Daphnia pulex: one gene and its partners. The protein of the gene in region 1 binds, or shares a complex with, the protein of each later gene. Links are inferred from orthologs where the notes say so. Each region holds a gene or a part of one and is shown on either strand. Other genes may lie near its edges.

Region 1 (3,026 bases):
CACCTCTTGGAAGAAATGGAAGTCCAGCGACAGAACCAAGCGGCCGACTATTGGCTTGTCCAGTATCAGCGTCTAATCGATAACATGCCTGATAATATTCAACATGCACAACAGTATCTTCCAAGTGCGCCTTCCTCTGTACTCGATGATGAGGAGGTGGCATCCGCTCCTCCGATGGAAGTTTTTATGGAAACTAATTGCGTCATATGCTTGGACAGTTCAGTAAGCTTACATTTATTACAGTTCAATTTTTCAAAACGAATTCATTCTAATTGCATTTATATTAAACAGTGCCAAGTTATATTCCTTTCTTGTGGACACTTATGTTGTTGTTCTGGATGTGGCAACAAGCTAAATCAATGCCCAATGTGCCGGGCAACCATCGTTAAACGACTGCAGGTTCACTCATAATGTTATTTATTTGCTTTTTAGCTTTTCATCGGTCATATCTTTGTGCCTTTGGCATCCTAAAAAAAATGTTTTCTTCATTTTTATCTTGTCTGTTGCTACTGTCGTTTCGAGACGTAAATCACACTTTAATTTTCACAGTATACAAACTATTTGAGGTCGTGTTTTTTTTTCTTTTATTAATTTTTTTGTCGTGCGAATACAAATTTTATCACACATTTTTTTGTCATTTAAGATCATTCATCCACTTCTTCATCCTCATTCTCCTTTTCATTTTCATTATCATTTTCATTGTCATTTTCATTATCATTTCCATTATCATTTTCTCCACCTTCATCTGATCCTTCTTCAATATCTTCCGGTTTTTTGTCGGATTTTTCCTGTTTCCGTTTAGCCATAGCTTCTTTGCGTTCCTTCTGTGCTTTCTTGTACACTGTAAAAGAAAAGAACATGTTGACATTCTAAAAATTGTTTTGAAAAAGAGAAATTACCTTCAAGAGAAGCCTGTAGTGGTTCAATAAATCTTTCAAATTCCATGTCAGCCATTGCTCCCAGGACATCCGGGCCACTGATGATCTTTATTTAACAAAAAAATTTTAGTAAATAATTGAGAGAATGGAACAAAATTTTCTGATTCTGTGATTCACCTTTCTGTTAGCTTTCATAGCCAGATTGTTAGAGCATGATGTGCAATAGAGAACAAATACAGAAGCAGCTTTAGCAATGGCGGTTCTAGCCTCTTTAGACACATTAACACCTTCTGGCAAGGATTCTTTTATGATTCTTGCTACTATTGAGTTGGGAAGGTTTAAGTCTTCAGGTCGTTCTGCCATTGCTTACGTACCTGGGAAAATCAAAACAAAATTCCTGTCATCAGCTAGATACATTAGTTGAACAAAACATATATTTCATCATATGAATTCTATTCAAATCAATAAAGAGAGAAAATGTCACTTATTATTTCAAATAATAACACCATTTAGTCATTTCCAAGAGATTTCTAGAAACTTTTTAAAAAATTAACTACACTTGTTACAAGATTTTCATAGGAAAAAGAAAACATCCTACCTGTCAAAACTTCTCCTACAATAATTTATTTCCGATTATACCGAAACCAACACTCCGACACTTGAAAACTTCAGATTTTTGCTGAAACAAATACACAGTCACAGTTGATGATTTCGATGTTGCTTCTGCTACAATAAAGGGCGGGAAAATAAGAAGTGCCAAGACCACATCGCCATCTGTGAGTAATATTCTAACCGTTTGCACAAATAAGTTTTTCGCCCCCGTTAGACCAGCAGTCGCGAGTCGCATAATAAAGAGGCGTATGATAAAGATAAATAATAATTTTTTTTATGTAGCACGAAGAAGATAAGCAGATCTTAATATATGAACAGACAAGATATAGGTTAAATATCAAACTAGTGAAATATCAATTTTATTACACCAATATTTAGTATTTACAGTACATTGTTGCTTCAGCAGCTTAGATTGGTTATTCTAACTTGAACCGATTTTGTTTTACTAGTATTATTTATTGTATCTTGAACAACACTTGGATGTTAAAACAAATCGACATGAAAATTTTAACAATCGTGATCACTTCTGTTCTTATTAGATTCAATAACGATTTTGACGGAATGGATGGAGATCACCAAATATGACGTACGCAAAAGACGGCAAAAGATCGTTAGACTTGTCGTTAGATAGTGTCAAGAGCGGCATGTGTAATAGGATAACAAACTTTCCTCCTTTTCGCCAAGCCACTCTACATCTCCGAGTCAAAGGGACCCAAACTTCCTTTAGCAGCCAAAAGTTAGATTTCCATCGATGCTAATCTTACAAGGGAATGACTGTTGTGTGTACCTGAAAACTTTTGAATGGATAATCGCTTGCTATACACCCGTATATAGCCTATAGGGAATAATAGATTGCCAAACGCCGAAATTACGAGAAGTTAGATTATTGATTTGCGACTCTAACTTTCACTTATAAAATTCGTTTCTCGGAAACCTCCTACCATCCCCAGTCGCCTACAAATCAGGTCATGGAATTCAAGACAAGTTTGATCCAAAGATATATTTTCAAATCCTACACAAAGTGTGAGAGTCGGGAATCAGAGAAAAGGCAGGATATGCCCCGGGATACTACTCATCCACTCCGACTCCAGGCAACGGATACAAAACTGATATACGCTGTGTCGCTGTCTACCATTGGCCCCTTCAGACCTACATCCGCCCACATCGGAAACTGTAAATCAGACGTGGATGGAAAAACAAAAAGTTGAAGAAATAAGTCTGACGCTCTTTTGAATGAGACGGATAAATGAACAAGTTTTGCTTACTCCCAAGTTTCTCTATAAATAAATAACAACAATTTAAGAAACAAATCTCTACTAAAATAATGGTTCATCTTTTTTTTTAAATAGACTAGGTAATCAAACTGTCTTTAATCATCGTTAATTTCATATATAATTTTTCCGATCTCAAAATTTTTCAAAGACATCAATCGCATCATTTTTTATCCTGTATATTTTTATCCGCGTGGGCGTACACCAGCAATCATCCCATCAGGATTTAACACGGGAGTTTTGTTTTTTGTTTTTTAATTTCTCA
Region 2 (2,752 bases), about 350 kb from region 1:
GCAAAAACGAAAAAATAAAATTTTATCTCCACAATACCTCAAACATCACTTTGCATAATTGCTGGCAATAATTAAATTGGCGAAGAGCAAGCTTCTGTTCATCACTCATCAAAGGGCTACCATTATGATATGCAGTAGCATTTGAAGCATATGCAGCAGAAGTTCCTCCACTATTTGTGGATTTTTGATAGAAATCTTGTAGTTTCACAATTTGTTCCTTTATGAACCGGACCAATGTACTAGTCCACTCTATATAACAAAAAAATGATTATAATTGCAGATAAAATAAATTATTTAAATCTTGGAAACTACCTTGAGAGGAATCTGGAACTTGACGCTTTTTCATTTTGGCTTCAGAAATAGCCACTGAATACGCAGATGTCATCTTGATTAACCATATTGCTCTAGACATAGGAACCTGATATTCACTTAGTTGGATAAATATTTCTTCCTTCTTGTTGAATATTGGCACCTTGTAAAAGGAATCAAAAGTTGGTATTTTTATTTGTTTAAGATATTCTGAGTATAATATTACTCTTTTTCCTAGATTCATCAAAGGTTTGCTGCCTGCTAAGTCTTTGAACCAAGACTCAATGAATGCCTTGGACTTTGGAGTAACATTATGGAAATTTTCTTTGGGATTGATGAGTTGGCGTTTTCGGCCAGTATCAGGCAATGTGTTGATTTCTTGTTTTTTTGTAAGCACTCCATTAATAAAAGTTTGGACCTAACATTAGGAAAGAATAATAAAATGGTTGTCAGCCTAGAACAATCTATGAACATCATACTAATTACAGTAAATTGTAGTTTACCTTTGATAAAGAAAAGTTGTGATTTTTAGCAGATCCATACTCTTCAGACTGATTAAGATTGGGTGTATGAGAAAATCCTTGTTTCACATTGACAGGAGTCAGTTCATCCTAAAAATAGTATTCCAAATGTTAATGAAAGGAAAACATAAAGAATTATCCTTTTTTTTAAATGAAACTGCCTTTTGGCAACTAGCATTTTCGTACTTGGGCTCATAAAAAAGCTGCAGCTACATTCAAAATATTACCTCTTTTTGTTTGGGATCCTGTGGGTAAACATCGGGCGGTCCTAATCTCAATTTTTTAAGAGGACGATTTTCCATTGATAAACAAGCCATAACTAGCTCTAAAATCAATTTCCACGCAGAAGTATAAATTTGTTACCACACATCAATGTTTACACAACACAAGTACACAAGTAATCAAATACTTCTAAATTCTTATCAAGAGTTCCGATTTTCAGACCATGGTTCAGACAGATATATCAGTGTGATGGCTTTGCTACAACGTTGCATTTCTATAATTTGCTGTTACGGCACACATAAAGAATAATTGGAGATGAATGTATTTGAATTTTGGACTAATCGTAGTCTAGCAACTGAATTTAGAAATAGTTATTAATACAATTGGTATCAATTTATTATGAACAAATTAATGACAAAATATGCTCCTTGCATTTTCAATTTTCATTGATCACATCTTGGCAGTGCTGTAAAAGTCAGCAGACTATATTTTGAACATTTCTATTTTGGCATTTTGTTAGAAATTGTAGTGGCGCGGAATTGCTGAATTGATTGAAGTGAAGGACTAAATCAAGTGAAATTAAATTAAGAATGTCTTCCTTTAAACCGAAATTAGGAGACGGCTCCATAATATTACCACAAGCACGAGTAAAAATGATTATGAAGAGTTCCCCAGATACTGAGAGCATATCCACTGACGCATTATACTTTGTAACAAAAGCAACGGTATTTTTAGTTTGTTTCCAGATAATTTTTTCATCTTATTTTTCTCATCTTCATCTAAAATGTTTCAATGTTTTAAGGAGTTTTTTGTAGAACATTTAGCCCAAGAGATTTATGAAAGTACCAAAAAGTCAAATGAGCTTACTTACAAAGGTCTAGCTGACATTGTTCAAAAAAGTGATTCTATGCAGTTTCTCAAAGGTACTGTGTTACTAAATGGTATTAGTAAAATTTTAATTTATTATTATTATTGTGTTTTCAGATATGGTTCCTAAGAAAATAACATACAAGGAATATCAAGAAATTCTGAAGGAAAAAGGAAATGGTGACTTGTTTTGAGTGTTTATTCAAATTCATTTCTGTCTTCAACATTACTTGCTCATATTTATAAGTGTTCCACTAAGGAAAGTTCAATTTCAAATACATTGATTGAACCCATTGTTCCTTTACGATTCACATCAACTAAGATAGTTTGGTGGTTCAATAGACTGCAGTTAATGTACTGTTGTAATTAATTAATTGCGGTTTTATGTGACCATTTGTTAGCCTAAACGGGTGTGTCCGTATTTTTTTCTCCCTCAATTTAGCGTACGTTATTTTCAAACCACAGCTGCTGCAATAAGCAAAATGGCAAAGTTCAGCGTGTCACCCATAGATGGCGAAAAAAGCAGTCTAAAAAAACAAAACATTTGATTTTGATTTTTGACATTTTGACACTAGAAGGGCTACTCTAATTTCTAAAAGGATGGCGAACTCCAACCGTGTTACAGTAATACATACTGGATATTCTTCTACCACAATTGAGGAAAAAGACGAAAATCTTCCTTTCGTCCGTGCAAATTGCTCATGCGTATTGGTTACCGGCAGTAAAAATAGTAACAAACAGCACAATCCAAATATGTTCGCAATAACGTGATAACAGTTAATAAATTATTTTTTCAGTAATTGTTGATACAATGACACCTTGGGATACCAATC
Region 3 (4,394 bases), on another chromosome or scaffold:
TTTTGATATCAAATCTTCATCTTCTTTATTATTCTGAAGATTAAACGGTCCGTCGAAATATTCAGGACTAATGCTTTCCAAATGAAGGATTCTATCTTCAAGGGCTTTCAAGCGTCCGTACACATCCAGTGGAATAGGTTGTTCTCTTGAATTAAAACCCAAGTGTTTTTCCATATTTTGTAGCCGTTCTTGGATAGCAGGAGTCGGATTCAATTTGGTGTTTACTGAAGATGGAGCCGGAACTTCAGAGTGTGTTTGTGGTCCCCACATATTTACGCATCTCGACACTAAAACGTAAAGAAATCAGTAATCAGCGTTGAATCCTTAAAATAAAATAATTTTACCCTTTAGATGACTTTTACTATCTTTTCTGCTTACAAGCACTGCCTCTGTGCGAGCACATGAATTCTCTAATTCGTTTAATGGTAGTCTGTGACAGAACTCCTGAACGTTGAATACGTCCGACTCTGATCGTTTCCGTTCCATAAACGCAGTAATTCGTTTTCCCAACTGAAAAATTAAAAACATTTAAAATATTTATTGAGAAAAGACTTGATAAAAGTAAAACGGATCAACAATACCTCTAAATTTGAAGCCTTGATCTGAACGCAATCGGCAGCTGCATAGTCCACCATTATTTTCCTCTTTTTAGATAGACTAGCGTCTTCTTCTTGATCTATATCAATTCAAAACATGCTATTGACTATTAAGCATCTATCACATCAAGCAAATATTCCAACAACTCATTCTCATGGAAATAAAAAATTTCAAATCCCGAATTTCCCCACCTAACAAGATTAGAATATTTTCGTACTTATTTTTTTTAATTTTGACTAATAAAAACTTCTGAACGCTTGTGCTTTCTTTAAGCCATACTTCTATAAGCCAAATAATCAAATGACGTACGCGGCAGTGAAGGGAACAAATGCAGAAGTCACAACTAAATACTAAATAAAGGACGTCTATGTGTGGTTGTCCCTATTCCGTCAGATAATTAGCTTAAAGCTTATAGGCAGCAAAGCTGTCGAACCACACGAAAACGTCTAATAGATTGAAGCAGTGCGTAGAATGCAGCATTGCAGCTACTCATCTTTAGAATCACACAGTATATGTTATTATATAATGAAAGGGCAAAGATTGGAAAGCGTTGGGAACTGGAAAGTACTTGGATAATAAGTAAAATGAATGTTAACATTGCTTAGTTAAAAAATAAAAAGAGAATTAAAAACCCTTAAAAACCTTATATTTTAAATGTCAGACTTGACAGCACTACGTAGATATTATCACTTTAGTAAGATTGAAACTACAGCCAAACTAACGTTCATGCTCCGATTTTTAACTAATGAAAAGTACTGGAAACCATTTCAAATATTGTTCTGATATCGGAAAATCGATTAAGGTTCAATATTTGTGTTACTTGTTAAGAATCAGTACTGTTATGAATTCAAAATTCATACAACAAATAGGAACAACTAAGCATTATTTGTTTAATTTTTACTTGTCCACAGGCATTCTTTGTTGGCTTTCCATTCAGGAGCACCATCACTATAAAGTTCTTTCTTCCAAATTGGTACAGACTTCTTAAGCGCGTCAATCCCAAATTGAACAGCCTCTAAAGATTCGGCTCGATGCTCGGATGAAACAGCTATTACAACACTTGCTTCACCAACCGGAACTTCTCCCAATCTGGAAAGAAAAATAGGTAATTAAAACAAACAAACAAACAAAAAAATGTTTCTTAAGTTTCCTCATTATAACTACAGTATGGTAAAAAAAAAAATTATACCTATGGTGGAATGCAATGTGTTTAACCTTCCATTTTTCTCTAATATTCTCACAAATTTTCTTGATTTCTTTACATGCCATTGGCTTGAAAGCTTCATACTCTAGACTAATCACCTTAAATATAAAGCAAATTTGATTTAGAAATATTTGACTTTAGATTATTCAAATTGACATTACTTTCTTTCCTTCAAAATTATTCCTTGTTGTTCCCACAAATAATGACACAGCTCCAGTAGAATGTTCAACCACTTTAGAGTAGATTGAATTCACATCAAGCTGTTCTTCAACTAAGTTAATAATATCCATTTTAAAATACAATTGAAGGGCTCTGGCGAATTAAGCTGTAGCACACTGCTTATGAAGAATCCTAGCGACCTAGCCACCACTTAATGGTGGGATCACTGCAATTTCCTTGCAATTTTTAATGTCTATAAGCTGATCAAATTCAACATATTCTTCATCAGCAGCTAGGACAATGTTCTTTGATATGGATTCTAGAGCTGGAAATTGTTCTGTAATGATGCACAAAAGATTTGCCCCAGTGATTCTTGAAGTTGTTCTGGAAAGTGAAATATTGTCAAAATCTTTTCCAACTAACTCTCTGGCCTTTGCAAAGAACAGAATCCGAATAACTACTTCATCCATTGATCAAGGTCAAGACTACAGCATCCCTGACTATAATTTTAACCAGATTTGTTGACATGTAACAATCAATAAAAAAATATATGTTAATTAGTTGTCACCGCAAAAGTAAATTTAACTTTGAGTAGTAATCTTGATTAGCAATACGCTCTTCTTATGCGTTGACTATGTGTCTGTAAAACTGTGACAGAGGCTCGGCAATCAGAAAAGCGTCTGGTCACTGGTCGTCTGCTGGCACTGGCAAGTGGGAAGTGGCAATGACATAAAGAGACTAAAGCGTATTTTTTAAAAATTCAAAAATTGTAATATGCGCGGAGTTTTTCTTGCGCGCAAAATATATACATTAATTTTATGCCCCCTTATCTGCAAGAAGCCAACAACGATGCAAATATTCTATGCAACTTTATGTGTATTGTGTATAGATGTTATACCCTTGAAAAAGTAGTGGTCTAGCAAAAAATCGTGCGCAGTTTACGCCGATGCGCACCACAGCGGCAGATAGCAGAACTAAACTTTTTATTACGCTTGACTACCTGTCTACTTCAAGAAACGAGACGAGAACCGACTGCTTGTCGAACAAAGGACTTGAAGTAGACAGGTAGTCAAGCGTAAAAAAAAGTTTAGTTCTGCTATCTGCCGCTGTGGTGCGCATCGGCGTAAACTGCGCACGATTTTTTTCTAGACTACTACTTTTTCAAGGGTATAACATCTATATCGTATCAGAGCGATCGTATTCGTTCACCGATTCTTTCATAATCAACAATTTCATAATATTCAAATTTCAAACTATGTGCATACCGGCATACTATTGTCAGGGGTATGGAGAGATTTATGGAGATATCTTTCTCTCCATACCCCTGCTATTGTTATTTAAAAATCCGACAAGTTTTTCTATCAGACACCAAATAAAATGACAGGCGCATTCTTATGCTACTGGAGTCACTCCTCTATGCGACTGTTAAGTGTTTACTTTCTCACCATCACTCCTTGTGTCACTACTAACACGGGAATTTTCGTGATTTTAATAATTAACAGTAACTATGAGGCGGGTGCGGTAGTTGAATAAGGAAAAATCTAAATATATAGTTCCTAGACTACAAACAATCCAAAAGTTTATTTGTTTCGAATTACTCAATTTCAAATTTCATTCGACATTTGAAAAACTCGGTAAACGTTATTGACAATGTTTTCAAATCACAGTGGTTTTTCCTAGTCAATGTCAAATAACACATAGCATTTCCGCATAACACAAACATTATTTACAAAACAAGGTTCGTGAACAAATTTCGGGGTTCACATTCAAACCAAAATACCGTTTCATATTACAACGATGAGCCTAATGGACTCGAAAAAAAAACACTGCGGCGTTTGGGAATTTCAATCAGCAACTCCCTGGGTTTTAAGCTTAGTATCATTAACGACGATAGAATCCCCGATGTTGACACTAACCAATGATGCAATTTCGACCGCCGATTCGGCGATTGGGACGTATTTATCGTCTATTTTCAAGAGAAGGATGACGCGATCCACGTGCGATCTTTGTCGCGAATCTGGATGATTAGGCACCCAACGATGTACCACCTAATCAAACACAAAGTACAGTAAAAGGAAAACTATTCACCCATCGCGTATAGTTTTCTTACCTGTCCTTCCATACCCACTTCGGGAAGCCATGATTTCCAATAAGATTTTCCACCTTGGTTACGAATTGTTGGACTTGGCCAGAGAACATCAATTCGTCGGCCCAGATTAATGGTATCGTAGACTTGATTGGGATCGACAATCTGAGTAGAGAAAAAATAAGTAAATTAATTTACAAATATACAATTTAGAAGAGCTTTAAAAAGTACCTTGACTCGTTGGTCGACAGAAATCCTGTTGTCCATAAACGGCTCCGTTTCGTACAGAGGTCGGTCAGTGTCGACAGTTTCAAGTCTGTCGAAACGGTCGCGTCTAGAACGATCTCG

The links.
Region 2: the proteins of DNA polymerase epsilon subunit 3-like (region 1) and chromatin accessibility complex protein 1-like are in contact, whole or in part, in a crystal structure (PDB 2BYM), measured with the Drosophila melanogaster proteins. The link is inferred for Daphnia pulex from reciprocal best matches to the Drosophila melanogaster genes Chrac-14 and Chrac-16. Residues at the interface, in NP_476646.2 of Drosophila melanogaster: Ile15, Leu18, Ile19, Glu21, Ala22, Leu23, Pro24, Glu25, Ser26, Ala27, Ser28, Val29, Ser30, Glu32, Ala33, Ala36, Ile37, Arg39, Ala40, Ala41, Val43, Phe44, Ala45, Phe47, Val48, Thr49, Lys62, Thr63, Ile64, Thr65; in NP_001285148.1 of Drosophila melanogaster: Thr35, Gly36, Leu37, Thr39, Asn40, Glu41, Val42, Phe44, Leu45, Met46, Lys48, Cys49, Thr50, Glu51, Leu52, Phe53, Val54, Arg55, His56, Leu57, Ala58, Gly59, Tyr62, Arg69, Pro70, Gly71, Glu72, Ala73, Leu74, Lys75.
Region 3: DNA polymerase epsilon subunit 3-like (region 1) and molybdopterin synthase catalytic subunit-like share a complex: the UniProt entries of both Drosophila melanogaster proteins name them as parts of the ada2a-containing (ATAC) complex. The link is inferred for Daphnia pulex from reciprocal best matches to the Drosophila melanogaster genes Chrac-14 and Mocs2B.

The regions. Positions count from the first base shown.
Region 1 is NC_060025.1:6,579,696-6,582,721, forward strand, and holds DNA polymerase epsilon subunit 3-like, read right to left. Parts: upstream 1,625-3,026; 5' UTR 1,477-1,624; intron 1,276-1,476; exon of another isoform or gene 1,253-1,275; 5' UTR 1,242-1,252; coding exon 1,056-1,241; intron 985-1,055; coding exon 900-984; intron 842-899; coding exon 645-841; 3' UTR 568-644; downstream 1-567. Other genes in the region: E3 ubiquitin-protein ligase LRSAM1-like, read left to right, coding at 1-222, 292-411. UniProt on the Drosophila melanogaster protein: Accessory component of the DNA polymerase epsilon complex. Participates in DNA repair and in chromosomal DNA replication. Histone-like protein which promotes nucleosome sliding of ATP-dependent nucleosome remodeling complexes.
Region 2 is NC_060025.1:6,928,058-6,930,809, forward strand, and holds chromatin accessibility complex protein 1-like, read left to right. Parts: upstream 1-1,526; 5' UTR 1,527-1,642; coding exon 1,643-1,777; intron 1,778-1,854; coding exon 1,855-1,975; intron 1,976-2,036; coding exon 2,037-2,113; 3' UTR 2,114-2,212; downstream 2,213-2,752. Other genes in the region: mediator of RNA polymerase II transcription subunit 12-like, read right to left, coding at 38-249, 313-472, 536-727, 813-920, 1,058-1,147; metallo-beta-lactamase domain-containing protein 1-like, read left to right, coding at 2,520-2,649, 2,717-2,752. UniProt on the Drosophila melanogaster protein: Histone-like protein which promotes nucleosome sliding of ATP-dependent nucleosome remodeling complexes. Part of the chromatin-accessibility complex (CHRAC) which uses energy/ATP to increase the general accessibility of DNA in chromatin.
Region 3 is NC_060026.1:10,881,545-10,885,938, forward strand, and holds the start of molybdopterin synthase catalytic subunit-like, read right to left. Parts: upstream 2,818-4,394; 5' UTR 2,092-2,817; coding exon 1,963-2,091; intron 1,900-1,962; coding exon 1,787-1,899; intron 1,687-1,786; coding exon 1,499-1,686; intron 677-1,498; coding exon 582-676; intron 511-581; coding exon 345-510; intron 288-344; coding exon 1-287. Other genes in the region: pecanex-like protein 1, read right to left, coding at 3,805-4,008, 4,071-4,211, 4,278-4,394. UniProt on the Drosophila melanogaster protein: Catalytic subunit of the molybdopterin synthase complex, a complex that catalyzes the conversion of precursor Z into molybdopterin.